Linked DNA regions of Oreochromis niloticus. The protein of the gene in region 4 purifies or fractionates together with the protein of the main gene of each other region. This does not show direct contact. Links are inferred from orthologs where the notes say so. Each region holds a gene or a part of one and is shown on either strand. Other genes may lie near its edges. The genes, in order: med23, med24, med16 and cdk8.

Evidence for each region.
Region 1: the proteins of cdk8 (region 4) and med23 purify together in Homo sapiens (affinity purification with mass spectrometry; 10 studies listed by BioGRID and IntAct, counting the BioPlex papers as one, with this or other methods). This does not show direct contact. The link is inferred for Oreochromis niloticus from reciprocal best matches to the Homo sapiens genes CDK8 and MED23.
Region 2: the proteins of cdk8 (region 4) and med24 purify together in Homo sapiens (affinity purification with mass spectrometry; 13 studies listed by BioGRID and IntAct, counting the BioPlex papers as one, with this or other methods). This does not show direct contact. The link is inferred for Oreochromis niloticus from reciprocal best matches to the Homo sapiens genes CDK8 and MED24.
Region 3: the proteins of cdk8 (region 4) and med16 purify together in Homo sapiens (affinity purification with mass spectrometry; 10 studies listed by BioGRID and IntAct, counting the BioPlex papers as one, with this or other methods). This does not show direct contact. The link is inferred for Oreochromis niloticus from reciprocal best matches to the Homo sapiens genes CDK8 and MED16.

The regions. Positions count from the first base shown.
Region 1 is NC_031980.2:6,315,645-6,324,107, reverse strand, and holds the start of med23 (mediator of RNA polymerase II transcription subunit 23), read right to left. Parts: upstream 3,054-8,463; 5' UTR 2,902-3,053; coding exon 2,851-2,901; intron 2,612-2,850; coding exon 2,580-2,611; intron 510-2,579; coding exon 422-509; intron 334-421; coding exon 209-333; intron 38-208; coding exon 1-37. Other genes in the region: il20ra (interleukin-20 receptor subunit alpha), read left to right, coding at 4,162-4,210, 4,900-5,026, 5,278-5,486, 5,567-5,742, 6,123-6,267, 6,556-6,692, 6,977-7,807. UniProt on the Homo sapiens protein: Required for transcriptional activation subsequent to the assembly of the pre-initiation complex. Component of the Mediator complex, a coactivator involved in the regulated transcription of nearly all RNA polymerase II-dependent genes.
Region 2 is NC_031973.2:19,693,853-19,701,482, reverse strand, and holds the start of med24 (mediator of RNA polymerase II transcription subunit 24), read right to left. Parts: upstream 3,149-7,630; 5' UTR 3,018-3,148; intron 2,788-3,017; 5' UTR 2,787-2,787; coding exon 2,657-2,786; intron 2,579-2,656; coding exon 2,496-2,578; intron 2,379-2,495; coding exon 2,340-2,378; intron 2,251-2,339; coding exon 2,177-2,250; intron 1,924-2,176; coding exon 1,700-1,923; intron 1,345-1,699; coding exon 1,233-1,344; intron 1,120-1,232; coding exon 969-1,119; intron 791-968; coding exon 677-790; intron 405-676; coding exon 351-404; intron 230-350; coding exon 147-229; intron 1-146. UniProt on the Homo sapiens protein: Component of the Mediator complex, a coactivator involved in the regulated transcription of nearly all RNA polymerase II-dependent genes.
Region 3 is NC_031986.2:36,000,842-36,008,236, forward strand, and holds the start of med16 (mediator of RNA polymerase II transcription subunit 16), read left to right. Parts: upstream 1-4,204; 5' UTR 4,205-4,567; intron 4,568-5,464; 5' UTR 5,465-5,617; intron 5,618-5,688; 5' UTR 5,689-5,734; coding exon 5,735-5,873; intron 5,874-5,957; coding exon 5,958-6,065; intron 6,066-6,276; coding exon 6,277-6,446; intron 6,447-6,565; coding exon 6,566-6,847; intron 6,848-6,974; coding exon 6,975-7,124; intron 7,125-7,224; coding exon 7,225-7,330; intron 7,331-7,395. Other genes in the region: misp (mitotic interactor and substrate of PLK1), read left to right, coding at 696-734, 811-900. UniProt on the Homo sapiens protein: Component of the Mediator complex, a coactivator involved in the regulated transcription of nearly all RNA polymerase II-dependent genes.
Region 4 is NC_031974.2:18,859,211-18,867,678, forward strand, and holds the start of cdk8 (cyclin-dependent kinase 8), read left to right. Parts: upstream 1-5,169; 5' UTR 5,170-5,519; coding exon 5,520-5,647; intron 5,648-6,975; coding exon 6,976-7,051; intron 7,052-7,499; coding exon 7,500-7,610; intron 7,611-8,301; coding exon 8,302-8,442; intron 8,443-8,468. Other genes in the region: E3 ubiquitin-protein ligase RNF6, read right to left, coding at 1-522, 2,410-2,574, 2,680-2,835, 5,130-5,133.

The DNA.
Region 1 (8,463 bases), on a different chromosome or scaffold from region 4:
CAAACTGTCTGAGCTTATTAAGGCCACGCACACCATCCTAAAGACACGAAGATTAATGAGATAGACAAATAACAGATTATATTGGGATGTCATAAAACAGATAAATTAAATATAATAAATTAATATATGGAAATATTATAAATCATTCTTTGAACCCATTTTACTTCTTTAGGTGTCAAATAATCTCACACTATATGTCTCTGTGTACCTGGGTGGTAATAGACTGGTCTCCACAGCCATTGCCAGACAGTCGTAGAGGAAGGAGATCCTCTTGGGGCTGTGCTGACTGTGTATAAAGCGCACAATCCATTGCACACACTGTTCATGAGACTCCTGCAGAAAGACGTTGGAGCAACTGAAAAATCTCAGCCATGTAAGTGTGAGCAAGTGGGAGTGCATGTGTGTGTGTGTGTGTAAAAACCTGTGGCAGGGTTCCCCAGTACTGTCTGAAGGCTCCAAGACAACTGATCAGCTTAGTCCTCTCATCCTCTGGAGTGTCCATAAACATCCTAAAAACACACTTCTTAATTTTAGCATTTAATTTTGCTCCGTACATTTTAATATACACACATCGGCCACTCTTGTTAGCCACATCTTTTCAATACAGTTATCTAATCAATCGATCACACGACATCACCTAACTGCCTTTAGGCATGTGGACATGGTCAAGAAGACCTAGTTAAGTTCAAGCTGAGCATCAGAATGGGGAAGAAAGGTGATTTAAGTGACTTTGAACATGGCATGGTTGTTGGTGCTAAACAGGTTGATCTGATTATTTCAGAAACTGATGATCTGCTGGGACTTTCCCCACATATACATCTCTAAGGTTTTCAGAGAATGGTCCAGAAAAGAGAAAAAAAGGCAACAAGCAGCAGTTCTCAGGGGGAAAATGCCTTGTTGAAGTCATAGGACAATGGCCAGATTGCTTCGAGGTGATGGGAGCGAAAAAGCAACTCCAATAAACACAACCCCCCTATTCAGAAGAGCCTCTCTAAACACAACATGTTAAACCCAGAGGCAGATGGACTACAGCGGCTGAGGAACATAATGGATGCCGGCAATGTAAGCTAAGAATAGGCAACTGAGGCAAAGCAGGATAACACAGCATGTCTTAAAATTCAAATTACATCAAACTAGTTTCTTGAACATGACAATGAGTTCAACGTACTCAAATGATCTCCACAGTCACCAGATGTCAATCCAGCAGAACAACTTTGGGGTGTGGTGAAACAGGAGATTGACGACATGGATGGAGCAGCCGACAAATCTGTGTCGCAACTGTGTGATGCTGTCATGTCAATATGGACCAAAATCTCTGAGAAATGTTTCCAGCACCTAACAAAGTGGCCTGTGAGTCTTACTGCTAAAACACTTCTGATAATCAGTTGTCTGCTTGACGTTTATTCAGCTGTGTAAAAACTATAACTATAACTATAACATCCAGCAGCACTACCAGTGTGCAGTAACTTAACATTACACTAGGGCTGCCACGATTAGTCGACTAGTCACGATTATGTCGACTATCAAAATCGTCGACGACTAATTTAATAGTCAACGCGTCGTTTGAAGCTTTGTAAGATCCCAAAAGACGCAGGAATAAGTAGTAGGATTTAAGAGTGTAATAACGGACTGAAACAGAAGATGGCAGCACTGCATGTACAAGGATGCCAGCTGCCGTTAAACCCCGAAGAAGAAGAAGCTGTGTCCCAGAATTCATAGCGCGGCCCTGCTCAGTTTTCAACAATGGCGGCAGCTAGTTAGCTTTAATGTTACTCTTATTATTCTTTCTGGGTCACAAAATAAACGTTTAATATATTTTCAGGCGAGAATGTAGCTGTGTAAACTTCAAATATCTGCTCAGTTTATCAAGACACCACATATTTTCAAAAGCGCTCCGACGTTTTCGGAGACGTCTGTTACCCATTAGCTCGATACCTAGCCGGGGTTCAAGGCTCACTAGAGCCGGTGAGAACACCGGACTCCCGGCAAATCGTTTTCAAACCCACCGCCGTCTTTCGCTACTCAGGTTAAACATGATGTACAAGTCACTTAGATAACTTAAAAATGATATTATTGGGCTTTTTTCAGTATTTTATTTGTTCCTGAGTAAATCGGTTTGGCTGAGATTAAAGTTATAGTTTTTACACAGCTGAATAAACGTCAAGCAGACAACTGATTATCAGAAGTGTGAGATGCTCGAGAATATACTCCGGTGTCCTGTTATATTTTAGATAGCAAGGAGCAGACGGCTGCGTTTATTAAACTCCACCGAAACAATCTGCAAATTTCATTTAAATTTAATAAACTATCCTCTTGTCTTTATTTTTAGTTAGCACCTTAAACACTTCAAGCTGTAAGCTAATGATAGTTATATAAGAGCAGACATGTGCTAGTGCAATAAACTGTACGTTTTACGTTCAATGGATGCATGATCTGATTAGTCGACTAATCGCAAAAATAATCGGTGACTAGTCGACTATCAAAATAATCGTTTGTGGCACCCTACATTACACCTAAGCTAATAACAATGCAATTGCAAAATATCGGGGGTTATTAACATGAATTCAGAGCAGCCTTACCCAGCAAAGGCCTCTTCTATCATCTCAGTTTTCTAAGAAAAAAAAGGAGAAAATAAAAACGCATTAACGTAAGTGAAGACTTGTGATATTAACGGTGCACCCTTAGCTGTTAATTCTTATGTTAGCGAGCTGGAGACATATAGTAAAAACACCATCTGGTTATATTTGCAAACCAAAGTAAGTTCAGTAAATAGAAAATACTACTACAGTTATCTGAAATGCTAACTAATGTTAGCTTGGCTGCCACTCAGTCAACAAAGATGCAAGTTACCACAACATCTTCAAAGATGCTCTGAAGCTGCGTTTCCATCGAAAGCGCCATGTTTGCAACCAAAAGACAATTATTCAACGAACCATCCCAGAATTCAAACCCGTCACTCCTCTACGGGAGCACAGTCGATAACCCCAACAAGCTAAATGCTAAAAGGAAGCAGAATGAAAGCCGCCGCAGGAGAAGCGCGATGGCAAAAACAATCCGGGCATGCAACGGAAACACAAGCGGAACAGTTCCGCTCCATTGTTTCTTTGCTTAATTATTATTATAAATTGTAATTCTCATACCTCAGTAATTTGCAAATAATAAAGTTACACATTAATAATATTATTTTTTTCAAATATTTCTCACAACGCTCGCATTTTTGAGAGTTTAAAATCTGTATTCAAAAGTCTGTCCCTTCACTAAGACAGATCTGTGGCCACCAGATGTCACAATGGACGATGTTTGAGCACCTGCTGTTCTTCTCGATATTTGCTAATTGATTTTTCCATGTTTTGTTTATAGCTTTCGTGAGGTTCGTGGTGGAATAATTGTGGTGTGATGAAGAAGAGTAAGAGTAAATGTTTACGCTTTAAACAAAACAGCTTTCTCTTTGCAAATGGGTTACCCAGGTTTAACTCAGTAGGGTCAATATTAATTTTTAATATCTAATCTCATTTGACAGTGTATTTAGAGAGAGAGAGGATATTAGCTGGGGGGAAAGGGACTAAGGAAATAACATGGTGCACCTTATTACCCAGGCTGCTATCCGGATAAACACCCCAGGAGCATCTTAAGGAAACTGTACCTGTTTCCACTTAACAGCCTCCACACGCCACACCACAGCAAAACTAAACACAGCTCACGGATTTATTTGGAAATGAGTCACGTATAATGTATTTTTCTTCTCACATATTGGAGTGGATCTGATTGTTTACTAAGTACTTATACTTAAGCTTAGATTTTTGTAGCCTATTACCTCAATGGACGCGGACACGCCCACGCCCGCGCGCGCGGCTGACAGGTGAACTGTTCACAAACGAGTAAGGTCACATTCCTTCTCCCATAAGAAACACGGAAACCTGTCAGGTCGCAGGGATTCCTTTAACTGCAGTCCACGGGGTTTCATTGGGTGGCAGTTTCATGTAACTCTTCCGACTTTAGCTACATTCTTTCACTTTAACCTTGAGTGCGTGGTTTTAATTTCCTTTAATCGAGAGAACTGCGAGCAGGTGTACTATGAGGAGGAGCTGGGGGGAACCTGCCGAGAGGACTGGAAGTATTTGCTTTTTTGTTTTTGTGAAAACATGACGACTCCATACAAAGATGTTGGCTATATTCACATTTTTCATTTTTTATAGCTTTCACTCCACAGGTAGGTCTGCATTTAAGTGCTAATATCTGTTTTCTTTGTTGTTACTTTGTGGATGCTGTGTTTCTTTGTTTCCACTGTTTCCATTTTGTGCGGTTAGTTTTATGGCGTTTATTCAATTCAAGCGGACTGACTTTTATGCTACAACAGTAGCCAACGATGAGATCATTAAAGAAATCTGCAATGAAACTGGGAACTTCTAAAAGCATTAACACATTGTAATTTAGTTCGTCCACTTTAAGTACAGAAAGCGGCTGTTCGAGCTATAAACGCATGTGGTTTTGTTAACACACAAAATGTATTAGTGCATGGAGCTCTACTTTAAGTGTAAAGTCACTTTACAGACTCGGGTTTCTCACCCGGGAGATCAAAGCATGAGAGGCATTCTTTGATCAAATTGCAAACAGAAAATGTAGTCTGGATAATCTTCCCATAGAGAATCTTTGATCAAACACTTTTATGGTGTTTGCCTACTTGAAATGATTTATAAGGAGCCGAGTGTACTGTGTGAGGTGGAACAAAGTCTGAAAGGCAGTGAATCATAGTGACAGCTCACACCTTACGGTTATATGTGGACAACTAGTTTAATAGTACCATTAAACACAGGAGAAGTTTAAAGGTCAGTCAGGACAACTAGAAGCTGGTGTATATTCTGATGACAGGCACCTCACCTCTTGTCTCGCTCCCCTCAGTCTCCCAGCCTGTCCCCAGCCCCATCAATGTCACCTTCTCTTCTGTAAATCTGAGGAACGTGCTGCAGTGGTTTCCAGGAAAAGGCAATCATGCAGATGAAACGCTCTACACAGTGCAATATGCCATGTGAGTAAATGTTTTAGAGTTTAAATAAAAATTCATAGTTCCCAAGAACTAGCCTGGATGCAGTCCCAAAGGGATTTATTGGCAAAAAAAAAAAAGTTCCAGCAAGGCTAAAAGAAATAAAATGCAACAAGATCTCAAAATCGGTCTGCTTTGTTTAAGTTCATTTTCTTTACTGACTGTGACTTTAAGCAAACTCTGCTCAACCTGTGCAAAAGTTCACCTCTGAGTGTGTGGGTCTTTGTCTTTGCCAGCTATGGAGACAGAATTCAAGGTAAGAAGGGAAAACGGGTGAACTGGAAGGCAGTGCAGCACTGTACAGAAATAGTGCGGACGTGGTGTGATCTGACCAGTGAAATGTGGGATGCGGATGAGGATTACTATGCCAAAGTTCGTGCTGTGGAGAGGGGAGTGTCTTCCAAATGGGCTTTCATACCCAGAAGATTCAATCCAAAGACAGAAAGTAAGTTAAAGAAACAAAAGCATTACAATATATTTAACATGTTTACACATTAAACAACAAAGGTTTGTCCAACCTTGTAGCTACTTTGGGGCCCCCACTGCTTTCTGTGGAAATTGAAAACACCAGTGCCATCATCACTATAAAGGGACCGATGAGGTATCCATCAAACAACCACACCCCAGCGCTTTCCATGGCGACACTCTACCCCGAAATGATTTACAACCTTTCTGTTCACAACACCCATCTGAACCACACGGTAGGTATAAATCAAGTAGAAATATATATGACTACTATAGATTGACTGCCCATACTAAGAAAAGTTTTAAAATTCTAGGACGTGGTGATATAATCTCTATCTGACGTTGCTGCCCTGAATTGCTTTCATTTAAAAACAGGATTGTCAGGCACAAATAAAAAGATTCATGCTAGACATTACATTGAAAACTTCCTTGTAGAGCACTGAGTCACCTACTACACCTTCATTTTTTTGGTAGTTTTTTTTTAATTGCTTAGCTATGACGACAAACTAACCTACACCCACAAAGCATAAACTTTTTGGTTTTTCTGCAGCAATTTTTTACAAAATTCTTTCCCACTCTCTAGCATTGCCTAATCTGTCCACTTGTTGGTTTTTAGCACCATTTCCCAGTTGTTGGCAGCGTGTACAAATACCGGCTGATGAAGTACAACATGGAATACTGCTTTTCTGCACAGTCGAAATTCCCAACGATGCCAATCCACTGCCAGTCCTCTGCATGGCTCTGCATAACCACATCTCAAGGTACAACTCCATTGCGTGACCGTGTCTGTAAATAAGAATATTCGGATGTAATGTAGAAAGGAATGTCAATAAATGTGTTATCAAAGCTGAAGAGCAATTAGTGTTTGTGCAGCAGGTGTATTGTACTTCCTTGTGTGAGCCAAATATGTCGGTCAAGGAAATGGTTCAGATTTTAGATTTATTTTCTTTTCAAATGACAAGCCCAAAAATGTCATCAGAAGCTGGATGAATAAATATTTTTACTGACTTCACCCTCTTTTTTTGTTTTTTTTTCTTCTTCTTCTATAGACCCTGTGATTGAGCAGCTGCAAAGTGTGATTGTGGGTATTGTTGTTCCAGCTTTGTGCATTGGTATGATCATTGCAGCTGGCTACCTTTTCCATCGCTACCTGTCTGGGAAAGACCAGCGCAGTCCAAATATACTGGTAATTGAAATGCATATAAACATACTGGCAATGCAATACCTAACCTGAACTTAATTTAATTAATGTAGGTTAGATTGGGTGGGTGGTGTGGTGTTTTTGTTTTGTTTTTTTTTGTTTTTTTGTTAAATATGAATTTAACAATTCACTGTAGGGACCCAGTGACATAATTATAGTTGCAAACTGAGACTATTGTTTGAAATTCACATAAATAATATGTTTCAGCAGTGTTTCAAAGGCAGATTATCAAACATTTCATACCTTTTTCCTTCCCCTCCAATTTCCAGAACGCATCTACTTTTTACAAGCTTCCTCTTGTGTTCCCTCCTGAGAATTCCAACCTCCTCTTAGTGAGCCGCCTCAGCCCTGAGCCACCAGGAGACTGCACAATATTAGACCCTAAACACCTCCTCGCCTCTCTAAAAGTTGTGGATCCCCCACCCAGGTACTCCCCCCAAAGGCATGAGCCTCCCTTAGAGCCCGAGGAACCCTTGGATGATTTGTCTGTTGACTACGGGGGTATCAGCATGGCTCCTCAAATCACTGTTGAAGGAGAAGAGGAAGCAAGGGGAGGGAATCAAGATGATGGAGACCGGAGAGTTGAGAGCGTTAACTCTGGTGGAGCTTACGCGCCTCAGGCTAACACTACTTGGACATGCAGACCAACCCCCATGCAGTTGCAGGGCCGGTCGTTTGCAGGTTTACAGTCTTTTCAGAGATCAAAGGAGGATGGAGCGATAAGAAGTTTACTATTAAGCATTCGGTTAAATCCGCAAACAATCAAGGAAGTAGAAAGGGGAGAAGAGCTGTGTGGAGAGGTGATCTGGAGCACAGATAGGGAGGGAGTGGCAAACAGAGGTGTGGAGGAAGGAAATAACTGTGAAAATGAGCCTTTAATGTCTGCTTATGCCCCACAGAACATTCCAAACATGTCTGCCTCCCACTCGGACCAATCTGATATCACGCTAGATGACTTTAGTGTCAATCATGAAAGAGGACTGGATGTACCTCTACTTTCAGGGAGAGGTAGAAGATTGAGTGAAGAGGAGTATGTGGCGAGAGCTAGGTTGAGGCTAGATAATGTTTCTGTCAGCCAAGCAAGTGACGAAGAGGAATAGAAAGAGTTAGAAAACGACAGGTGGAAACAGGGAGTGAGGTGGCGAAGGTTTTCAACAAATGGGACTTTGTTGGGATCCCCATGGATCAGTAGATGATATTCATCAGTAAAAAGCACTAACCCTGTTATTGAAAGATAATCCATGAAACATGGCCAGTATACAGTTTCTCAGCTCTATTAAAATGCATACAGTGTGTGATAAAAGCAGAGTTTTAGGAGCACTTAGTACTCACTTAGTAGGGTTACCGTTATAGCTGAAAATCTACTGATATACACATGAAGAAATCATACTATGATGAACTTTGAAGGAAATGTGTATTTATCTTAATTACAAGATACACTGTATATTTTTTTTAATGTAATTTCTTTTGTTTTTAATCTGTATTTTTCCTAATGTAGCTGTCTAATAGTGAAAGAGGATAATACAACATATGATCATAACAAAGAAACTACACTTCATTCTGGACTGGTGTCTGACATATCTCTCTAAGATAATCAGATGTATTGTTTTTTTTGTTTTTTGTTCTTTAAAATAGAAAGTACAACAAAATCCTATATAGGAAACTTTACACCGGTGTTTTCTTTTAAGTCTATGATCGCAGTGCACGGTAGATGTTGCATGACCGTACGTGTCCGTGTTTACTTATAAAGGTTGAA
Region 2 (7,630 bases), on a different chromosome or scaffold from region 4:
CTTGGCGACAGTGGGAAGGAAAAACTCCCATTTAACAGGAAGAAGCCTATGGCAGAACCAGGCTTAGTAGCTATAACTGCTTTTCTTATGTATATAATCTTATTTTGAGATCAGGGGCATCTCCAGTGACATTTACGAGCACTTACTTGCATCGCTGATCTGCTTTGTCCAGGAGTGGCGTAAGCTTAAGTAAATACTGAAATGCTATGTTCACATCCTCCATGAAATCCTGGGAAATGCAACGTTTGCACATTTGAAAGTGACAAAGACAGTTTATGACATTACACACGCAGCGCTCAATATCTGGGTGTTAACTTACAATACAAAGATCAGTCAGGCATTTACTTTACCTGTCCTTTGTCACTCTGAGGATATTTCTTTAGTCGGAGTAGAACTTGCGGGATCTGAGATGAAGAAATCACAAGTTAATTTCATCTGATTTCTGTGGAGTGTAGACAGTAATATTACTACCAAATTAGTTTCATGCAGACAGCTCAGAGGGGAGATTTATAAAATCACTGCACAAAATTTGGCACACTATTCCTTCTCTAAACTAAAAATCCACAACAAACAGAGTCAAGGAAGCAGTTAATGATATAAACAGCAAGTAAAGGCAGCAAAAGGCAGAGAAAAAGACAACAGAGGACCAAGTTTTCTTCTTTGAAGTAGAGCTTACCTTAAGGAACGTAAAGGCAGTCCATTTAAGCTCTTCTGTGCCCTCTGGTGACTCAATGAGGCCAGTGAAGCAAGCTTTCCATATCTCCAGGACAAAAAGGGGAGCAGGAATTCGCTGATGGGAACAGAAACACTCCATTTACATCACACAAAACCTCACCAGGAAAGGCTGTGTAATATTTTGGCCAAAAGCTGAAATGTTTCTTTTCTGTGTGTAATGAAATTCCTTTGTCCTATAAAATCTGTCAGTCTAAATTTTTACTGTTTGATTTTTTTCACAGCTTAATGTTCACCTGCATTCGTTTGATCATCATTAACTGCTCCACCAGCGGCTGTATCTCTCCTGTCAAATTCATAGTCCCTTCCAGCATGATGAAGGCATGAACTGATGGAAAGGAGGCATGAACTGGAGGGTCACTCTGCTCAGACAGCATCATGGGAATACTGAAGAAGAGAGTGGAGAAATCGGCACAAAGAAGTCAGATGGGAGGCTTGAAACTATTGTCAAATTAAAGCTTAGGAGGATCATTTGCTCTGTATTAATGTGTCAGCCTCACCTTTTTACTAGTGACAAGCTCTCCTCTAATTTAGTAAGCAGCGTTGAGTTACTCACACTACTAAGACCATCTATCAAATTAAGCACAGCTTGCTCTACATTGCTCCAGGAACCTGTTGGAGAAAAAGCAGCAGCAGAAACACTGTTTAGATGCCACGATCGGCACAAAAACACACTTTAAAGATTTGGCCAAAAATGACAGTTTTAGCTTAAGTGACATTTTTGTATCACTATGGCTGAATGGCAATAATTTCAACAATTGCCAGATCCCATGCATATGCAGGTGTTTGCCTTAGAATGACTTAATATTAAAAGGCAAATAAACTGCCAACAAACTTTGAGAGCATGTTAATAGAGCCTCAGGTAATTTACACACTATATAGACGTACTGATACATCAGCAGATCTCAGCCAGACTTCACTGAGCACAACCCTATGTGTAAACAAATACCCACACACACTTATATACCTTGGTCCTCCAATCGGGCAATGTGGACTAAAGCTCTGTTCTTGGTGCTGTTCATCAAACTCTGGAGCCTTTCCTGGCAGGCTCCAAGACTGGTCTCTGTGCTGGCTGATGGACCCAGTTCTCTGAGCTTCTCACAGTACCACGCACAGCCCTGCACCAGCCACACTACCACTGCCAGCAGAGCCCGACAAAGCCCGATGCATTCCTCTGCTTTTCCGTGACAGCTGGATCAATAAGAGACAAGAAGCAGTGACATTTTAAGCAAGATGCACACTCACTGGTCCCTTTATTAGGTACACCTTGCTAGTACAGGGCTGGATCTCATCCGCTTCATGGTTTGTTGTGTTGTTTGATGTGTTGTGCATTTAGAGATGCTCTTCTGCATACCTTGGTTCTAATAAAACATTTCTGCATCAATCAGAATTTTAAAAGACGTGAATTAGATTAATGCAGATACATTAGAAACACTTAACATACCTAAGGCGATGGCAGAACATGTCCATTATTTCTAACAGTGACTTGACGCAGAGCTCCCGGGAAAAATCATCAAACTGTCACAGAAAAGACAAGTATTAAGATCATTAACATTTTCTTACAGTAAAAATAATTTTGCATTGAGTATTGTCATGCAGAAAACTACCTTGCTGATAGCCATAAGCACACTGGAATAAGACACCATCTATGGCAAGAGAGGAGACAAATCGCAACATGCAAAACAACCAACAAGGTTAGAGAATCTTCTCAGTTTCACACGTTTTCATTTGCTTTTTTAAAATACAACAGTGCTTTATCTCACCTGTGAACTTATGGCATATTTGAGATAAGACAAGATGAGTGGGTTAGGGGATGGTCCAATCATCGCCTGCTCCATCAACGCCTCTGAATTATATACAAGGAACAGTTAGAGCAACTTTAGAAAACACAAGAACCGGTATACTTAAACAGACTACTACCAACCTGCAAGGTTGAGATAGTCCCATGTAGCTCCCTTTGGGAAGTTTTTCTTGATGTTGATGGCCCACTGGTAATCACTCCAACGATCTTTCCAAGCCTGCAGAATGGCTTGCTTCAAATTGACCATCTTCATCCTGGCGGAGGAAAAAACATCAATAAAAATGGCCACAATTCAGTCACTGTTCGTTTTTACGCTGTAACACTCAAGCTTATTTTACACTATTCCCTAGCTACGTTAGCTTATGCTATTTGCTAATGAAATAGTTAAAGAAAACTTCTCCTGTCTGATGCCGAAAACAAACAGTTTTCACAATAAATTAACACCAAAACGAGTCTACAAAAGGGTGCTAAATCTGATACCTACCTGACGCTTTGAGTTTTTAGAAGCTTACGCTAAAATACATTTGTTTATAGGACCCCAGCTTCACAACGCAAGAATCGACGTTTTTGTTTTGAAAGACGTACCCGTTCATTGGTTAACCTCCTGACGTTTCAGTATTCTTCGCGCGGATTGGTTGAAGGGGAATACCGGCAGAGCTCCGCTCGACTAGCAGCAGATGTCGCTGTTTACAAAGGTAAGAATCAAAGCTCGACCTTAGAATTTATACCTTTTCCATACATAAGGAAATGAAGGCAGCAAAACTGTTGTTGTGCCTTCCAGTTAAGGGTAAAACATGAAACCAAAGAACTGAATAATTTTCTAATATAAACAGCTATTTTAGCGTGACACCTGTGATGTCTTGTTAGCCGTTTGCAGTGTTGTTTTGTTTGTTAGTGAAAATGAAGGAAAGTATAGTTCTTGCAGAGGCATGACTTAGTATTTTTGTGTTATGCAACTTTTTGTTTCTACTCCTTTAAATTTTGGAGGCAAATACAGGACTCTATACACCACCTTATTTATCGGAGATTTTAGCTAGGTTTAGATTACTCAGCAGTATGAAGACCAATTAAAACTAGCTACAACTACCATATTAAACTTGTTTACACAATATTGAATTGGTGATATTCTGAAATGAATCCTTATGTAAGTGCTTTTACTTTAGGTATTTTTAGAAGTTTTAGTTTTTAGAACAAGTCTTTCTAATACACTTATCTATATATATATATATATATATATATATATATATATATATATATATATATGTATACAAACTAAACAGACGCTTAACTTAATAACAACTGGTGTCATTTGTTTCCACATTAACCTAATTTTTCTTGTACTGTTAGCTGTAAAGTGATGACATAAGTTATACCTGATATAACTAAGTTGAATTTATTTTCTTTGATTATTTCATCCATGCATACAGTGAAATGCATTGTTGTCTTACATAACCACCTCATTCAGCTGTGTGATTCACTACCTCGGTGTAGCTCTTTTGTGTGTGCCAGTCCAGTCCCTTTCAGCAGGATTTTGTTTATTATGTCAGAATGTTGAGGTGGAAAAAAAGCAAAACAGGACATGTGTCTTTACAACAGTTCACACTCTTATAAAACCTGAAAGAAACAGGGGTGAAATAAACTATGTGGAAATGTGGAAATGGCTCCTTTATTTAGATTTAAATAAATAAACAAATCTGTTTATTCACAAAGCACATGCTCAAGAAGAAAATATATTCAGAACAATGCTGAAAGTGGCACTGGTATTTAAAAAAATTCTACTCAGGCAGGAGTTTCTCTTTCTCCTTTTAACTTTTGAACTCAGTTGTGTTTCTTGCTAAAAGGGATACTGTTCTCTATATCAAAACCACCCAACTACTTCTGTTAGGGAATATCCTGTATTGAGTTTATGACTACAAAGACCCTCATTCTGCCTGACACTGGAGACGGTGTCCTGATAGAGCGAAGTCTGTGTCCTGGGACGGCCCTGTGCCAGCCAGCAAGAGATGATCCATGCGTCCTGGCGTTGTCTTGGTAGGTGAGGGTTGGAGAGATTATGAAGTTGAGGTGTGTGTGTGTGCAGCGGTGAATTTGGGCAGAGTGATCTTATCCCCTTTGCCTTCTACATAGTGGAGAGCTGCATTAGTGGAGGGTACTGAGAGATCTGAGTCTACCCCTGGGGAGACCGGAGAGACTGAAGTCACAGCTCTGTGTCTGTTCTCATGACTTCACTGCCGGGACAGACCCAGTTTTGCTGACTCTTATTTTTCTTCTATGTAAGCTATTGAGTAATCCCATTATAACGGGACTCACTAGTTTTTAGTTTGTGGTGCTCAAAGTCTCTCAGGATTACCTGGATGTAGATACTTTCACTATGAAAGAACCCTGTATTGACAACTTATCTAATTTTGAAAATGGCCCATAGTTTTTAGAAGTATTATTTTCAGATGCTTATTATTTCTTCAAACTAATTTTTTTTAATTCTCTCAACACCACCAATACCTTTCAGCTACATAATAATGAGATAAACACAAGCTACTATCTCCAAACACCAGCAATTAACAATGAAACTATGTGGATTATGTGTTGCGTTGTGTTTTGTGTAATCAATTTATTAAATCCATTAGGGCCAATTGCTTAATAACCCATAATCATCCACCTGTATGGGGTGCACAGAGAGGCAGGAGATAATGATCCCTATGAAAGAGCAGAACTAAATAAATGTGATATTTCATAGCATGTGTTTCTATTAGATCTTTATATCTGTTATACTTCTCTATTCTGTTTTTTTTTAAAAAACACAACATTACTGTCATTCATTCTCTCCTGGGGCCTCTGGGCACACCAAGATAATTACCAAGGGTTCAGAACCAGGAAATGAGAGTGGCCCTCTCCTGTCCCCTCAGGTTGTCCAGTGATGTTGCTTCATGAATCAGGATAGACTAGAGGCAACTACTGTAACCAAGAGAAGGTAAGGCACATAATGTGTCAGTACATTTAATGTTGCATACAGCTTCTTTCTCTCAGGTTTGAACTCAAAATGAAAGTCTTTCTGGAGGGTGATGTAGAAACAGCAACTTTAACATAGGTGAACAATAAAGTGAGAGACATGAACATCTGGTTAAAGCTGTTAAAGCCATGGCAACCGACTTTGGGAATAACGTGTATGGGGAGGCTTTCTAAATTTGCTGACCCACTCTTGTAATGCAAACAATGTACATAGGGAAAGCACAGTTGCAGTAAATAACACTATAACAAATTAATATGCACTAAACACTCACCTTCCACTTCATTAGTTACACCTTGTTAGTTGTGGGTTGAAACCACTTTGCCTCCAGAACTGCCTTAATTCTTCATGGCATAGATTTAACAAGGTGAACATTCCTCGGGGATTTTGGTCCATACTGACATGAGAGCTTCATGCTATGTTATACTGAGATCTGGTGACTGTGGAGTCCATTTGAGGACAGTGAACTCATTGTGATGCTCAAGAAAGCAGTTTGAGATTATCTGAGCTTTGTGACATGGTGTGTTATCCTGCTGGAAGCAAGCAGCCATCAGAAGATGGGTACACTGTGGTCATAAATGGACCAACATGGTCAGGAACAACACTCTGGTGGTGTCTTAAGTGACGCTTTGTTGGTAAAAGTAAAAGTATTCCCCACACCATTATATTACCTCCAGACTAAATCATTGACACAAGGCAGGAGGGATTCACGCTTTCATGCTGTTTATGTCAAATTCTGAGTCTAGAATTTGAATGTTGCTGCAGAAATGGAAACTCATTAGACTAGGCAATGTTTTTCCAATCATTGTCCAGTTTTTTTAGCCTCAGTTTCCTGTTTTTAGCTGACAGGAGTGCCTCTGTAGCCCATCTGCTTCAAGATTCAGGTTGCTGTACAAGAGGTGCTGTTCTGCAAACCTTGGATTTAACAAGTGATTGTTTGAGTTGCTATTGCCATCCAGTCTGCCCATCCTCTGATCTCTGACATAAATAAGACATTTTCAACCAGAGAAATTTTGCTCTCTTGATATTTTCTCTTTTCATTCCATTTTCTGTGAGCCCTACAGATGGTTGTGTGGGAAAATCCAAGCAAATGAGCAGTTTTTGAAACAAGCCCGTCTGGCACCAACAACCATGCCACCTCCAAAATCACTTTTCCTCTTCATTCTGATCCTGAGTTTAGACTTCATCAGGCTGCCTTGACCATGTCTAAAAGCCTAAATGTGTTGAGTGGTTTTAACCCATATTAGAATTGTCGTATTGGTGTGCATAGAGAAGTTGAGGAGAATAACTTTGCTAAAAGAAAACAATAAACTTCTCATTTGACATAATAGAGAATTTCAAAATTTTGCCATTTCTAGTGTTTGTATTACAGCATTTATAGAACAGACAAAGAGCACAAAATATCAGTAAAATATCCCACGCTTTAAGAAAAAAAAACAACTTGGAACTACAACATGCAACTGATGACTGTAGCACTAACAAGATACCTGTAGATAGCAAAAATGTTAAATTTCAATATTTTAAACAATAATTTTAGACTGTAGTTAGGTATGGCACTTGCATTCATTATTCTTTTTAATCTATGAGGTCTTTTAATGTCTACTGGTGCACGGCTTACAGCCGTGGGCTTTTTACACAGGATGACAAGGATGGGTTGTAGGATAAGGCTGTTGTGTCTCTTCCATTTGGGCAACTACAAAACACATCTCAGTAATTGGATAAAGTCCAGTCACACTTCAGGATCAGTTTGTACTGTCAACTCAGCAGCGCTTTCAACTGGTTTTATTTTCATTTGTCTGACTAGAGACTGCTTTGGCATACAAACTGTTGTGAAGTGTCTGCTTGTAAAAATACATTGCGTGTCTTTATAGGATATATTTATTTATACCTCACTTTAATATAGTAATATCTGCCTCTAGATTATGTTGCTGCTATCATATTAAATCTTTGTCTGTTTTTATATAACGTTATATTAACCATTTTTTGCAGCATTCAATGAGCTTTGAACTACTTAAATTCCATCTAGTAACATTCTCAGTCATAGTAACACAGATTTCAGAAGTATCTTTCATTGAGTGATACTACCACAGCAG
Region 3 (7,395 bases), on a different chromosome or scaffold from region 4:
TCTAAATCTATTAAACTAATATATTATTTACTACAGAACACAGAAAACACATAAAATGTTTAACCATGGTAAATGTTTGAATAAAAATATGAGCTCATGTTGAATCTGATGGCAGCAACACATCTGGACAGGTCCATGTTTCCTCTTCCATAACATCAGTCTGTGAGCTGAGGCGAACAGCTGAAGATCACAGAAATCCAATACTGATTTACAGCCTCATCCCTGCGCTCAGATCCACTGAATATGCTGATGATGTCTTATTGTGTAGTTGATGATATGTTCACAGCAAGGACTGTGATTCTGAAACAGGTTGGTGAACCTCTGAGAAGCTCCGCCTCTCTGAGAGGATCTTTTTCCACCTGATCACGTGACCGACCTGCTGCCAGCTCACCTTTGATCTTTTCTTTTGCACTGCCGGACTTTGACACACTTTTACTGCTCCGTCGCAACTTTTAGGTCGAGTCGCTGCTGCCAAATTCCACATGAGCTCAGATTTGTCAGTAAAATGTCTCATTTTGAGTATTTACTGTGTTTTTTGTGCTCTATTGTGGATAAAATATGAGTTTATGGGATTTGCATTTTATTGCATTCTGTTTTTATTTGCAGTTCAACCAGTGTCCTGACTGTTGGAACTGAGGTTTTAAAACTGCACAATAATAACAGAGTCTATTTTTTATTTGTCTGTTTCTTTACAGTACGCAGGAATCCAGCCAGTCGATGAGATCAACAACGAGGTATGGGCTTCTCCTGTAACATTAACCCCTTTACTCCTTGTCTCCTTAACTCCTTGTCGTCTTGGCCTGTTTTCAGGTTGTGGAGTCGACTCGAGTCAATCGACATAAGAACCAGGGAGCTCTGCTCTGGGAGGCCGGACGATTTGCCAACCAGGAGAACCAGTGAGTGTGCCTGACTCCGAAACAGGACTCGACCTCAAGCAGCAGGGCAGGAGATCCTGAAATACAGGACTGAGTTTCTCCTCAAGCTGGGATGCAGTGGTTTCTAAAGACTCTCCAACAGAAATGGCTGTTGCTGATTAGTCCTTGAAGATGACAGCAGTTCCCCTTGTCTAATCAGCAGTCCGTTGGTTAGAGCCTAAAACAGAGACAACGTGTCTGATTCATCTAGAGAAAAAAAAGAGTTCCAGTGTTTATCTGCAGACTTTTAATCTGACACAGCAGCACAGGAAGTTTCTGATTGTTTTCATGATGCATCAAAAATAAAGAATGATTTTTAGTCCTCAAACATTCAGATGGTTCACTGCAAGACACAAACATCTGCCAACAGCTGCAGTATTATAGCAGAATCACAGCGACAGGAAGCTCAGTTTTACCTGCTTTCTGAAAAACACTTGAACAGAGGGTTCTAACTTTCTCCAAAAGATCCAGAAACAGGAAGTGTAGCCAAACAGAGCACGCCAAACCCATCTCTGAAACAAAGGTTCACAATGTGTTTTTAGCAGCATTACCACTAAACCTTCCACACAAAATTAAACAATGATTCTCACTGCTTTAACCACCTAAGACCCGAACTGTTTCATGGCATGCATTTTTAATTTCTCTTTGCTATTTGGGCTGATTGTGACCTGATGAATGTAAAAACAAAGAATTACCAGATTTATTTATTATTTTTTTTTACCTGATTTTTGTTTATGAGAAAAATGAGATCCACATATGAGGACATTCGTTTTAAATTTTGATAGAAGTGTGGCAATATAATGTCCCCGTAACTGGATATCAGGCCCCTGTAGAGCAAAAGTTTGTATTTTGGTCTAGACAACCCAAAATGTGATGTCCACATATGTGGTCACCGGGTCCTAGGAGGTTAAACTGACGTTTCATTCTAGTTTATTTGTAATTTACCTGCATTTCTGTTTTTTTGGTTTCGTGTTTTGATTTGATGTAAAGCACCTTTGTAGCACCTGTTGTATCCCGACATGTGCTACACAAATACATTTGCTTACTTAAACACACCGACACAGCACAAAACATAAACACAATAACCAAACACACTGTTTGGTTACACTCACCTCATCGTTATACAAACGACCAACAACATCAGAGGGTACCTGGTGACAGCAGAGAGGAAGAACTCTCTTTAATCGGGAAGAAAACCAGGATCAGGGAGGAGGAGACAGGAAAAGAGGACGTGATGTTTCTCAATAAAGTCTTTCTTTACTTCAGCCCACACAAAAACCAACCATATGGACAGCATCCTGCTCTTGATACAACGCAGAAGGTGATCAAAAAACAGAGGATCGAACTCACTCATACAGCAGATCATTGGATCAGACCATAATCTAGCTGTGCATAGGGATGGGTATCCGGTGCCAGGTTCTGACATAAACGGTAGTAACCAGACCGAAAAGCGGCGCCCATTTCGGTGCTTTTTTTTTCTTGAGATGTCATACACTTTGGATTCTAGCCAATCATTTTACCTTTCCAAGGATAGTAGGCAGGCCCAGGTACGTACGTTCTTTTAGTTCTTCTCTGAGTGAGTAGCTTAATGTTGTTCGTGTGTAATTTACATTGAGTAGGCTAACCACGTTATTAAATTAATGCACGTAAGGTGAACTAGCAAAGACCGTCATAGTTACATGCGGCTGTCTTCTTGTTTGATAGAGTGACACCATATATGCCCTATAGCTGCAGGAAAGGCTAACATTGTTATCTTTTTACAAAAATCCCCCCAGCTAAACATGAGAGGTTTTAGGACAAAGTTTGTGTTTTCCATTGTTTAAGCACCGGTTCGAGCACCGTTTAAGCACCGGCACCGTTTCAAAAGTACCGGTTTGGCACCGGTATCGGATAAAACCTAAACGATACCTATCCCTAGCTGTGCACCCAGTGTTGCCAACTCCTCAGTAAGGAAAATCGCTATTGGCTGTCCTAAAAGTCGCCAGAAGTCGCTAAATGACATCATCGCCTAATTTGCATAATTGGTCATGCTAATGTAATTGTAACCTACGTTGCTGGAGAGAGAAATAACATTGTGGAAGAGACATAAAGTGAGTAAAAAACGTCCTAAATGCATTTAGAATTTATTTAGAACAACAAATTAAATTTATTTTAGCAATTATTGTTTTTTTTAAAGTCAGAATTCCAACCCTGCTCCTTTATCCGGTCTTGGACCGGCAAAAAAGACCCGAAATAGGCACTCTGGTGGAGTTACTTTGTGTGTGTGTGTGTTTATAAGTAGTTTTAAACCTCGTGATCCACAAAACAGCATAACAGTAAAAGAAGAACTGACTGCGTTACAGTCAGTGCGGGAGCAGCGGCTTCGCTCATGCGCGATTCATTTGCAGTTCGGACGCATAGGTGTGAACATCGTCTGCCCTGATAGCAGCTGGGGGAGGACTATCCTCCGCCTGTGAGCGCTTTGGTACGGGCGAGGTGCCCACGGCAGCACCCGCTGCTTGTTGAGAGTAAAAGCGATGCCCACTTTCACGTCAAAAAGTCGTGGCTGTAGCTCAGGTGGCAGAGCAGGTCAGCCACTAATCAGAAGGTCGGTGGTTCGATCCCAGGCTGCATCCTGGCTGCATGCCAAATATCCTTGGGCAAGATACTAACCCCATGTTTGCCTACTGGTGGTGGTCAGAGGGCCCGGTGGCGCCTGTGTCCGGCAGCCTCGCCTCTGTCAGTGCGCCCCAGGGCAGCTGTGGCTACAATGTAGCTTGCTATCGCCAGTGTGTGAATGTGTGTGTGACTGGGTGAATGACTGAATGTAGTGTAAAGCGCTTTGGGGTCCTATGGACTAGAAAAGCGCTATACAAATGCAGGCCATAAATAAATCTCCAATAACACCAGAAAAAGTCGCCAGATTTGTCGCTAGTCGCTTTTTAGAAAAAAAGTCGCTAAGGGGGTCTGAAAACTCGCTAAATATAGCGACAAAGTCGCTAAGTTGGCAACACTGTGTGCACCCTGTCAGTGTGAACTCACAGCTAAAGAAAAAGTCACCTGACACCAGATTTAAAATACGTTTCTGGACAGATGAACAAGATGACAATGCATCGAGGTCGGATATTTTTTCAGCTTTAGTTTCCATTATTAAAAACAACAACTAGTAAATACTAGTAAAGGAAACCACAATAAACTAAAATCGATGCAGGTATCTTTTAATTTTTTTTCCGCCTAGAAGACTTCGCTGAGGGCAGAATGTTCCCGGGGATAGAGGAGGGTGTCCGCGGCGCCCGTCAGATTAACAGCCGGTTCGTCGCACAGAGCCGATATCAAACTGATCACAGAGGTTATATCAGTCATCTCACAGACAAACACGTTTATATTACACGTGGCTTAAACGTCTCGCCTTGACGCTGTTTGAGTAGAGCTTCGGGGTGCCGTCAGTGTTTTATAGTCAGGCAGCTGTAGAGGCAGCCGCGGGGTCCCCACATCCTTTTAACAGAGAGCGGTTTGTTTTTAACAGCAGCAAGCAAAAAGCGCTGAATTCAACTCAAGTCTGCTGTTTCGGTGTTTTAATGACCTTAAGTTAATTTTAAACAGCCTTAAAAACAGGAAAAGGAAAACAGCTAATTTTCATTCTCATCTGGGTGACAGGAGCGGAAAACCGTCAGGTGAGCTAACGCTAGCGGCTAGTGCAGCTGCTCATTCACTGTTGTGACTGAGTACTGTGACCATGGTGTTATTTGGCACGGCCTGGGTGAACAGTTTGATGCTCAGTTTGAAAAGGAAGCAGCTGAACTGCTTTAAGTTTGTAAAGACGTTTCATGCAACAGGCTTCTTTAGTTCTACAAATTAAAGTGGAGGGTCCCAGGTGTTTAATCCCCATTGGAGGTGATCCTGAGGGTTACCCACTATTGATCATGTGAGTCAACACAAGAACCAAGGTATGAAAGAAGGTGGGGCTCATTACCATCAATGGGGTTTAATGGTGAAACCACTGTGAGATGTTGCCCCAGCCCATCGTGTGACCTGTTGAGGACACCTGAGCCAAGGTATGGATCTGGGTGGAAATAGTCGGTTTTGTAAACCCCGCCCTCTGTTCAAAGATGTTCGTTCACAGTGGACATAGATGCTTCTTCCACTAACCATCAGTCCTCTCTGTCCGAAATGTGAACATTGGCATCCTCAAAAGAGTGACCTTTGACTTTTAGATGCAGATGTACAGCTGAGTCTCTCTTCTGTGTACAGGTTTGAGCTTTCCTTGCAGCACGGCACTGCACAGCATACACTGTTGTTTAGTTTGTGTCTGAGTGTGTGGCTGGGTCTGAAGTACACTGGGATGCTTCTATGATAAACCTGCTACATACGGGATTACAGTGTTGTTCCCCTTTGTCCTTCTTATTCTCCCTAGTTGGTGTCTGACCTTCTTTTCTGTGCATCTTTGCTGATTTGATGAAAGCCCAGTGGGGACAACCACATGTTTTAAGAGCTTTCTTCTTTACATGTGTGTTCCTTTTCTTTCTTTTGTCCTTCTACTTGTGCTTTGCTTTTTCACATCTCTGTACCAGTGGCTAAGTGTCCCTTTTGAAAGCTTTACTTTCCACTACTTCAGGTAAAGGTGGCACTGGGGAGCCCGTGGCTCATGCATCTGTCTGACACATGTAGTGGTAAGGCAGAGGTCTGATCACTCATGTTCATCTCTGCTCTATCCACACAAACAGGTCAGTAATTGGTGTTTAAGTGATTAGAGCAGCTGACAAGATTAAATCCCTCTGACTGGTCTGCTTTTTAGGTGACGCATCCACCTGGGCTCTAGATTCTTCTTCTGTGGTGGAATCATGGAACTGGCCTATGTGTGTGAGTGGGAGAAGCGTCCGAAGAGCACACACTGCCCTTCCATCCCGCTGGTCTGCTCCTGGTCCTGCAGGAACCTCGTGGCCTTCACCACAGACCTGAAGAGCGAGGACGACGACAAGAGTACACAAATACACACGCACGCGCACACACACACACACAGGCGAACACACAAACACACGCTGAACTTGATGTTCTGTTTTCCAGATGTGAGTCACATGATCCATATCATCGACACTGAGCACCCCTGGGATGTTTTCTCCATCAACTCTGGACACACTGAGGTCATTTCCTGTCTGGAGTGGGACCAATCAGGTGAGACTTCAGTTAAATGTTTTGGAGATGAGCTCAGCTGATTGATTGACTGTTATTGGTCTGGAATCGGATTGGCTATAAGCTGTTCAGACTGTGCAAGCAGGAGAATCTGCTTTTCTCTTGCTTTATGTACAGTACATGTTGCAGTGTCACGTTCTGCTGAGAGAGACAGGAAGTGACGTGTGTGTCTGTGTGTTTGCGCGTGCTGCAGGCTCACGGCTGCTGTCTGCAGACGGCGACGGGCAGATCAAATGCTGGTCGATGTCGGATCACCTGGTGAATAGCTGGGAGAGTGTCCTGTCGAGCTCGCTAGATGGAGACCCCATCATCGCTCTCAGCTGGCTGCACAATGGTGTCAAGCTGGCACTGCACGTGGAGATGGTAATAGCTGCCCACACATGTGCACACACCTGCTGGCTCGTTGCAGTGATAGCTCTGTGTCTTAATACTCACTGAGACCAGTTGAGTAAGCCCTGCCTCCTCTTCTCCTCTTGCTTCAGTCTGGCTCCACAAACTTCGGGGAGAAGTTCTCTCGGGTGAAATTTTCACCGTCCCTAACGCTGTTTGGCGGTAAGCCGATGGAGGGCTGGCTGGCGGTGACAGTGAGTGGTTTGGTGACAGTGTCGCTGCTGAAACCGGGTGGCGCTCTGCTGACGGCGAGCGAGAGCCTGTGCCGGCTGAGAGGGCGCGTGGCGTTGGCCGATATTGCCTTCACCGGAGGAGGGAACATTGTGGTGGCTGCCACAGATGGCAGCAGCTCCTCGCCTGTGCAGTTCTACAAGGTAAGGACCAAAGATGCTGGTGTTACCAAGGGGCTATCACCTCTGATGCTAACCTGACATTTGCTGGCGTCACCAAGGGGCTATCACCTCTGATGCTAACCTGACATTTTACCTTTGGTTGTTTCAGGTGGTGGTCAGCGTGGTGAGTGAGAAATGTCGCATTGACACTGAGCTGCTGCCGTCACTTTTCCTGCGTTGCACCACCGACCCGCTGAGGAGGGAGAAGTACCCCGCTGTCACCCACCTCAAGTTCCTGACCCGGGAGAACTCTGAGCAAGTAAGACCAGTGTGCACAGTCAGATCAATAAGACAAGTGTGGCCATTAAACCCGAGACCACCAGGACCTTCAGAACTCAGAGGAAGTGTGTACTTTTCAGGTTCTGCTGTGTGCGTCCAATCAGAACGGCAGCATCGTGGAGTGCTGGTCTCTGAGGAAGGAGGGACTTCCTGTCAATAATATCTTCCAGCACCGTTCGCCAGTGGGTAAGAAGACCCAGCACCAGCAGGAAGTGATGTAACAGCCAGCTAATGGTTGACATAGTAACAAG
Region 4 (8,468 bases):
TAGTTTGATCAGGAGGAGGGTTTGGAACGTTGGGAGGAGGTGTTAAAGAGTGCAAAGTGCCACCTCTCCTTTGAGTAGCAGCTGAGGACGCCACTGGTGGAGGAAGTGCAGGGGGGCTCATGGAAAGTGTGGTAGTGCTGCTGCGTGTACGCCGTGTCTGCACCCGCCTACTAATGGCTGGGCGGGGGGTAGGGTACGGGGCAGGCCTTGGCGTGGTTGAAGGGCGAGAGCTTGAAAAGGAGGAAGCAGTTCGTATTGAGGGTGATGTATTTGGGGCAGTCACTGGTGGGTCTGAGGCATCCACAGTCTCATTATGCTCCCCTGGCTCTGGCTGGTCATGGTTGATGTTGATCTCCAGGCTAAAGCGGAATTCTCCACTGTTCGGGTTGGTCCGGCTGACAGCACGCCATGTCTGATTGCCACTCTGCCCGCTGCGAGTAGCATTACCAGTGCGTCTGAAAGTATTCAGCCACTCCAGTAATGAGTCACCATTAGAAGTTTCTGCTCCAGGTTCTGTGCCCCCTGTAGGAAGGGGAAAAAAAAGAAGAAAAAAAAGGTTACGATTAGGTAAATTAAATCATTAAATCTACTTCTCTTTTCACAGGTCTCTAGCAGAAATCTTGCTTTTGTTCTCTTGCAACAATATAAAAGCCATTTTAAACTATTCAAAACCAGTACTTAGACTGTATTTACTGTCAGGCTAAAACATAAATACAAACACGGTTCAACAAAGCACGCCGTCTTGTTTGGTACCAGCTTAGGCAAGGTTTAAAATAAATACAAGACCTTCACAGAACATATTATGAAACCTGTCTTTTGTCATCCTTTTTTTTTCCTTTTTCTTTTTTTTTGCTGCCAAAGCAAGTCCTTAAAGATTATTTTGTGTTTTTCCTGTCCTGTGTTTTTGATTTTTTTAAATCAAAAATTAAGTAACTTTTGGCTGTGTTTTGACTGTTGTCGTTATTTCGTCTAATATGCAAGTCTGAGTGTGCAGGTGCCTCTCCGTGATTGGTGCATCCAGGGGACGGATCGTACGGATTGGCTAATGACCGGGGAACAACATATAGGAAGACACCGCCATGGACGGCCGTTCATTCATCCTCGGCCAATCCCAACCAGCAGACTTTGTGTTCCCTGTTTAGCTATGTTTGTTTGATGCAGGAGCATGTAGGGGTGGACTGCCTTTTTGTTTGAGTTTTCTCCTGTTTTGTTAGTTAGGAAGGTAAGTCGCTGTCGTTTGGTTTAATTCTTTTGAGTAGGTAAGTTTGATTTATCCTTGAGATAGGCTCCCTTTGTTTGTTATTTTGGCCTTAGGTCCACCCCGAAGTTTTAATTCGCTCCCTTCCTTTGTTTTTAAATTCACTTATTGTAAATAAATCACAGTCAAAAAGTACTGATTGTGCGATGTGTTGCTTGGGGTCAGATAGGGATGGATCACCCTTATGTTATGGTCTGGCCACCCCTAGGCGGGCCGTAAAAGCTGCTCCATTATTTCCTAAAGCTGCGTACACATATGAAATGATTCGTTCATTGGACATTGCTTCGAAGCTGATGGCCAGTCATTTGTGGACATTCTAAGCTCCAGTTCCCTCAGTAAGCCCCTAATAAGTTTACTACCAGGTCATATGTCAATCATGGGTAGTCTTCAATCTCATTACTCGTCTGTTCATTTACTCCTCTGAAAGTTGACAACGGTTTATCACGAGTGACACCTACTTCCTTTCCCCAGCACTCATTTTGTCTTTATTCACTTGAATTTTGATGACTTTCTAGGGTCTCTAGTCGCCACATTGCTGTGAATTGCTTCCAGTGTGTACGCAGCTTTAGGGGTCACCACAGCAGATGGATCCCTAAAGACCCCGGTATACCCCTTCGTTTGTGACTTCACACGTCACCAGTGCTTGTCACATAGCCACTTCTATTTACTCTCATCGGACAGGCGCAGGTAGCTGCTGCTGTATTCTGATGAATGATAGGTGCCGTGACTCAGACACTACCACCACATTAGTGCTGATAGGAAGAGAAGTAGACAAAACTGAAAGTAAAGACATTTGAAATAAATCCAGAGCAAAATTTTTTCCATCTCTTCAAACTGCTGCAGCATCTCCCTAAGTATAATCTGCGAATCTCTGACCTTCTCTACTGATACATCTTTAAAACTGCAGCGAGAACTAACATGATTTTAAACTCTTATCTTAAACCCTGCTGCAAACTGCCAGGTTACAAAAGTCACGAGGTTGATTCTGCTTCTCACCCCAGAATCAAACCACAGATCTTTTGCATGTAAGGTGAATGTTCTACCACTATACCACAGAGCCATTTAACTCAAAAGTGACTTTGGGGCTTAACATAAAACAAAACATCACAAAAGCCAGATCTGGAAAGATTAAGGGAAGAAGTCCTTCCTACCTGCTCCTCGTCTCCCTCCAGCACCTCTCTCTTCTCCCTCACCGCTGCTGCTCTGCTGCTCTCCAGACTCAGAAGTCTGTGAGCGCTGCTCGGTAGAAGGCTGAGATGACAAACGCTCTTTTGCTCCATCCAGACGCTGGCGGAGCTCTTCAGCAGTCACCTCCCCTGTAAAACAAATATTTCATGGGCTTTGTGTTTTTTGTACAATAAAAATAACTGTGGGTACAGATACAACAACATGGCGCAAAAGCATCAAGTGCCCCTCCTTACCAGGAGTGCCCAGCAGGTTGCCATCTCTCATTAGACGGTACTCCTCTTCACTCAGTTCATTAATGAAGTGATAGTACGCCTCCTCCCTTCGAAGACGCTCTGCCTGCCTCCGCCGTTCATCTCCCCCACCAGGAGGGTCCATCACCGTGTAAAGTGCTGGCAGACAAATAAGCAAGAGTCAGTCACGGATGATCTGTCACTTAGTTACCCTCTGTAGATATTTGTCTTTCTAATATGTTGCAGATGAACAAGTCATGTGTTAGCTAATGGTCATCTGATTCGGTTATGGACAAGCAAAGATCAAACTGTTATATAGCGAGCAGTTGCTATAAATAAGACCAGCGCAAAACACAGTGCAAATATGAGCTGTTTGCTCAACGTTGTCTTTGAGTGACTATTTCTACCCAAGGGCAACAGTTAAATCAACGCCATCCATTTTCTGTCGAAACACTTACAGCAAAAGAATGGAAATGGCTACGTTAATCTTGCTAACGTTTAGCCTAGAGGTTAGCGCCGAAAATTCATCAAATTTAATTATGCCCATGCTCAGTTAAATCCCTACCACGGTAAATCTAAGGGGTAGTGTAACAATGAAGCAGTCATCACGAAACCTAACATTAACGCAGTGACAACAGTATCCACGGAAGGCCATGTTGAAGGCAGCGGAATAAAGCAACAAAACTGGCGTTGTCATCCTGGTTAGCCACCAATCAGCGGCGTAATCTCAAGACGGACACGCCAGGCATCCAATCAGCGTTGAACATAGGCGGGCCGTGATAAACCGAAAGGGAGGCTTCCTCCATGTAAACGCAGGGCAAACAGTGAAAGACAAAGAATCTCGTCAGCGCTATTAGAGAATTACAAAATCGAGATGTTGACACATAGTAGCGATTACGACAACATTGGCTCAACATTACAATTAGAATTGTGGATATTTAAAAAGCCATTTAAGTGCGCAATGCTTCAGCTACTAACTCAGCGCTAGCTCGTTAGCACAACCAGCGTTAGCGACTACCACATAGCTCCGCTAGCCGACCCACCAGCGAGCTACGAGGCTCATTAACTTATCATAATTTATTATGACAGAACGTTTTCTCAAGCAGTGGGAGTACACGGAACCTATCACTTAACCCTAACACACTTTCATAAGAGATGACAGTGGCATGTAAAAGAATTTCGTACCTGACGAGGCAGCTGTAATATGGACGGTTCGCTTTGCTCTCTCTGCTCTCTCAAATCAAGATGGGACCAGCGGTGCTGCACTACAGCGTCGGTCAAAAACAAGATGCCCGGCTATAATAGTTCCTACCTAACATAACATCAAAGCTAAGCTCAAGGTTTGGCTGACCTAGGTGACAGCAGTGAATGTCAGTGTAAAAGCATCATTTATAAAGTTGCTATACTTTTATTCAGCTATACTATACTATCTAAAACTTCAAAGTATTTTTCTCAGAAATGTGAGTTAGTAAGATTACATTTCGAGATTAAAACACGGAAATTTTGACTTTTTTTTAGTGGTGGGAACAAGCTTCACATTAGGGTTCTTGATGCCTTTGTTTAAATTATTTTAAATATTCTAAATATTCAGCTAATCATATATTGTATCTCAGTCATAACTGCCACTCTTTATTGGCAATTATAAAGGTTGCTGGCTGCAGAAGCTAAAATAGCTCTTCCAACATTCCAGGGTATGGTAATGAGTGGATAGGTTCTTGGACCAATCATAGCAGTTTTCCACTTTTAAAATACTTTAAACTGATTCACTTAGATTTCCAATGGGAGTGGGACCAAGATTAGAAATTAGCATATCAGAGGCACACCTCAAATTGAAACAAAATTAGAGAGGCAAGGCTGAGATGGTTTGAACATGTGCAGAGCAGGGATAGTGGATATATTGAACAAAGGTACTGAAGATGGAGCTGCCAGGGAGGAAAAGAGGAAGACCACAGAGGAGGTTCATGGACATAGTGAAGGGGGACATGCAGAGGGTTGGTGTAACAGAGGAGGATGCTAGAGATATGGTGAGATGGAGGGAGATGATCCACTGTGGTGACCACTAAAGGAAGCAGCAAAAAGAAGATGATAAAAAGAGTTTAAAAGTATATTGTTTTTTGTCTCCCTTTTTTATACGTTTCATTACTTTATCCCGTGACTGCCCATTCAACATTAATCTGTTTGGACAGTCTTTTTCTTTTCACAATATAGTGCTATTTAAACCATACTTTACTTATTCTCTTGAATTAAAATCAAATGCATGTCTGCTTTCTTTGTGGTGGACAGAATGTGCAGATATTTGTTTGCACAGCCCTCTTATAGCCACGTAATAACCCACAATACGGAAAATAATAAGCTAGCTTCTCCTTAGCATAAAGACGATACGATGATATCAAGTCATATCTCAGCTATATTTGAGTGAGAGTGAGAATTTCCACGTGGTATAGCCAGCCTACCCATTTTTTCTTTGGCTCTTTCTCTGCTGCAGGGCTGTCTTCACGACGTTTTACGACAATGCCGTGCGCGAATACGCCGTCGTTACCGAGTGAAGTGCGTCCCTTCGGAGCAGATACCGGCTGAAGAGAAACGCAGCAACAAGATAAAGGAATATATTTGGGGCTCCGTTTCCACCTGGACCATCTCGGAGCGCCGCATATCTCCTCCGGAGCTTTAAATTTAAGACGAGAACTCGATGTGAAAGCCGGGCTGGAGGAAGGAAAGAGCCACGCTGGAGAAGGCAACTAGCTGAATTACCAAACCGAGCTCGGTGGAGGAGCCTAGTTGCCTCCCAAGCGACGCTTTAAAAAAGGAAGGAGCGGATACATTCAGGCCAGACGGTGGTAAAAATGGACTATGATTTTAAAGTGAAGCTGACCGGCGAAAGAGAGCGTGTCGAGGACCTGTTTGAGTACGAAGGATGCAAAGTGGGTAGAGGCACCTACGGCCATGTATACAAGGCGAAGAGAAAAGATGGGTGAGTTGATGAGCAGCAAGGCCTTTTAGCCAGTGAACCCTAGCCAGCTTACCCCCCCGCCTCCTGCCTCTCTTCTCATCTTCCAAATAAATGTTACCTCTCTCCTCTTCCTCCCCCTTTCAAGGCCACTTGCAGATGTGGGAGTGTTGCAGTGGGTTTGTGTAGAGACAAAAGAGAGCAGTGTGAGCAGTTTCAGCTCGCACTGTTGGGATGCTGATGAAGCTTTGTGTCGCGCACAAAAAACACCGACATACGGTTTACCACCGGGATTGGAGCTTTCCCTTTTCATGCATCTGTTTTGTCACGTATATGCCTAACTCTAGGTACTATTTTTTATTTATTTAAGCTAAAGTATTTTTTAATTCCCCCCCCCATGCGATGTAGTAAATGTAATACAGCAGGTGCATGTGGAAGCACTTGTTGATGTCTTCTTTTTTTTAAGTCTTTGTTATACATGATACCAAAGAGACTTTTACAAGATTTTGTGTGAATTCAAAAAATAATCTTTAGTTATGCCCAGTTTTTGCACTCTTAAGTCTTTTTTTTTTTTTTTTTTACCCAATTTTATCATTATTTTTTTTATGCTTTTAGCCTTTGCATGAAGTAAAGTAAGGGAAATAGCTGAACCCAAACTGTAGACTTATGTGGTGCATGGTTAGTGTGCTAATCCCTCAGGATGCCAGGGCACCACCCACCTTTCTTCCTAAAACTTTCCTGCTGTTTCTAATGTGAGCCTTGTAACAGCCTTAACTGTGTCTGGACCAGAGCTGGGGGAGAGCTCAAGACGGTTTAAGCTACTAGTCCCGTTATTACAGCCCGGACATACTGGCAGCAGGAACCACACAAAAGAGTCCTAAAGTGTTTAAAGATGTCTGTATTTCGCTTTAGGAGCCTGCTTTTTTTATGAGACTTTTTAGCAGAGTTGCGCTGCTGCTTTTGGACGAGGCCTGAGGAGGCACAAAGCTTGGGTTTATGAGATGATTTAGGCCCGGCAGAGGGAGGGGTTGTAACCAATTCGTTCAAGTAAGCGCCAGTGCCAGTGCTCTGTTTGTCCCTTGCCAGCTGCCAGACAGGCCCTGTTTCCTTTCCCTCTCTATTGTTTTGACCCTCAGAGGTGAGCTTGATTACACAAATTTGGAGGTAATGCAACTCGGCCTCTTCTCAGAGTCCCACTGGCAGCTGCCAAGTGCCCCCCTTTATGTTGCTGTGCAAACGGCTCTCAGGGGGCCCTCAGTCTGGACTGGTCTGGGCTGGTCTGGTGTTGATGTTGCTCTACCTTTCTGTGTGTGTGTGTGTGTGTGTGTGTGTGTGTGTCTGTGTGTTTGTAGGAAGGATGATAAGGACTACGCCCTCAAGCAGATTGAAGGCACTGGCATCTCCATGTCAGCCTGCAGAGAGATTGCAGTAAGAGCTGCTTGGCTTACTCTGTTCCTTTTGTTTGGTCTGTGATTAAACACCTTCTTGCCATTCCAGGTGCTTTATGTAACGTCTGAATGACCTTCACACGCTAGTTTTTGTCAAGAAAATGAAAAATGTGAAATACAAGCAATTGTAAAATTGAAAAGTCAGGAAGCAGATGTTAATGCAGTGCATATAGAGAGTAGACACAGAATTAGTGATATGACGTATTGCCTCACAAGCGGTTTTCTTTAAAACATCTTACTACCAAAGATTAAAAGTGTTCAGTTGAGGAGATGATATCGTGTCCACCCCCCTGTTTAAGTATAAATTCTGGTAATCAGTACAGTCGCAAAAATAAGTGCAAAGTTTCTCTTTCGTTACGTCATTTTCATTCATGATGTCTGTAATGAGATTGTGTGGTTGGCCTTCTGAGTGGGTTTGTATGTTGCAGCTGCTGCGGGAGCTGAAGCACCCCAATGTCATCTCACTGCAGAAGGTTTTCCTGTCACATGCTGACCGTAAAGTATGGCTGCTCTTTGACTATGCTGAACATGATCTCTGGGTAAAATGCAAACACACAACACACACATACACACACACTTGACCTGCATGACATGACTTATCATACATATTATGAGGGTAATGCATGTTGGGTTTTTTTAAAATTGTTTGTTTTAAGCATTTCTTTATTAGTTTATATTCATATGCATGCATGGGTTGCAGATTTCCACCTATTTTTATGAGCACAAAGACATGACTTAAATAGGCCTCTCTTCATAATTAGGTCATAAATGTCCATGCAATTTGATAGCAGTTTTTTGGGGGGGGGTTGCATGTCCTTTCTTTTAAAAAATGCCAAATCCCTTTTAATGCCGATGCATTCACATTCGCTTTCAACCAGTAATAAGGAACGAGACTTGAAATAGTGCTAATTATGCATTGGTAAGTCTCATTAAAGCACACACATCCACCAAGAAGTATTCCATGTTGAGCAGTTAAACCTCTGCTGCATTACCGTTGACAGAAACAGCTGGCAGAGAATCAGAACTGAGTTAGATGCCGTTTTCTGCCACAGAGCTCCAACAATTGCATTCCCCTCCCAAGGAAGTGGAAACACATGTCACAAACATTAGGCTCTCTCAACTCGCCTGCAGCACACTTACATTTTTGTGATCATATGTAGCAAAAGAACATGCATTTCAGTCAGTCTGTACGTGCAAACCCTGCTCACTGTTTACCCTTTCTTTCCATAGCACATTATTAAGTTCCACAGAGCATCTAAGGCCAACAAGAAGCCGCTTCAGTTGCCTAGAGGAATGGTGAAGTCTCTGCTCTATCAGATTCTGGATGGCATCCATTACCTTCACGCTAACTGGGTCCTTCATAGAGATCTTGTAAGAGAATTGGGGGGAGAGGAGGG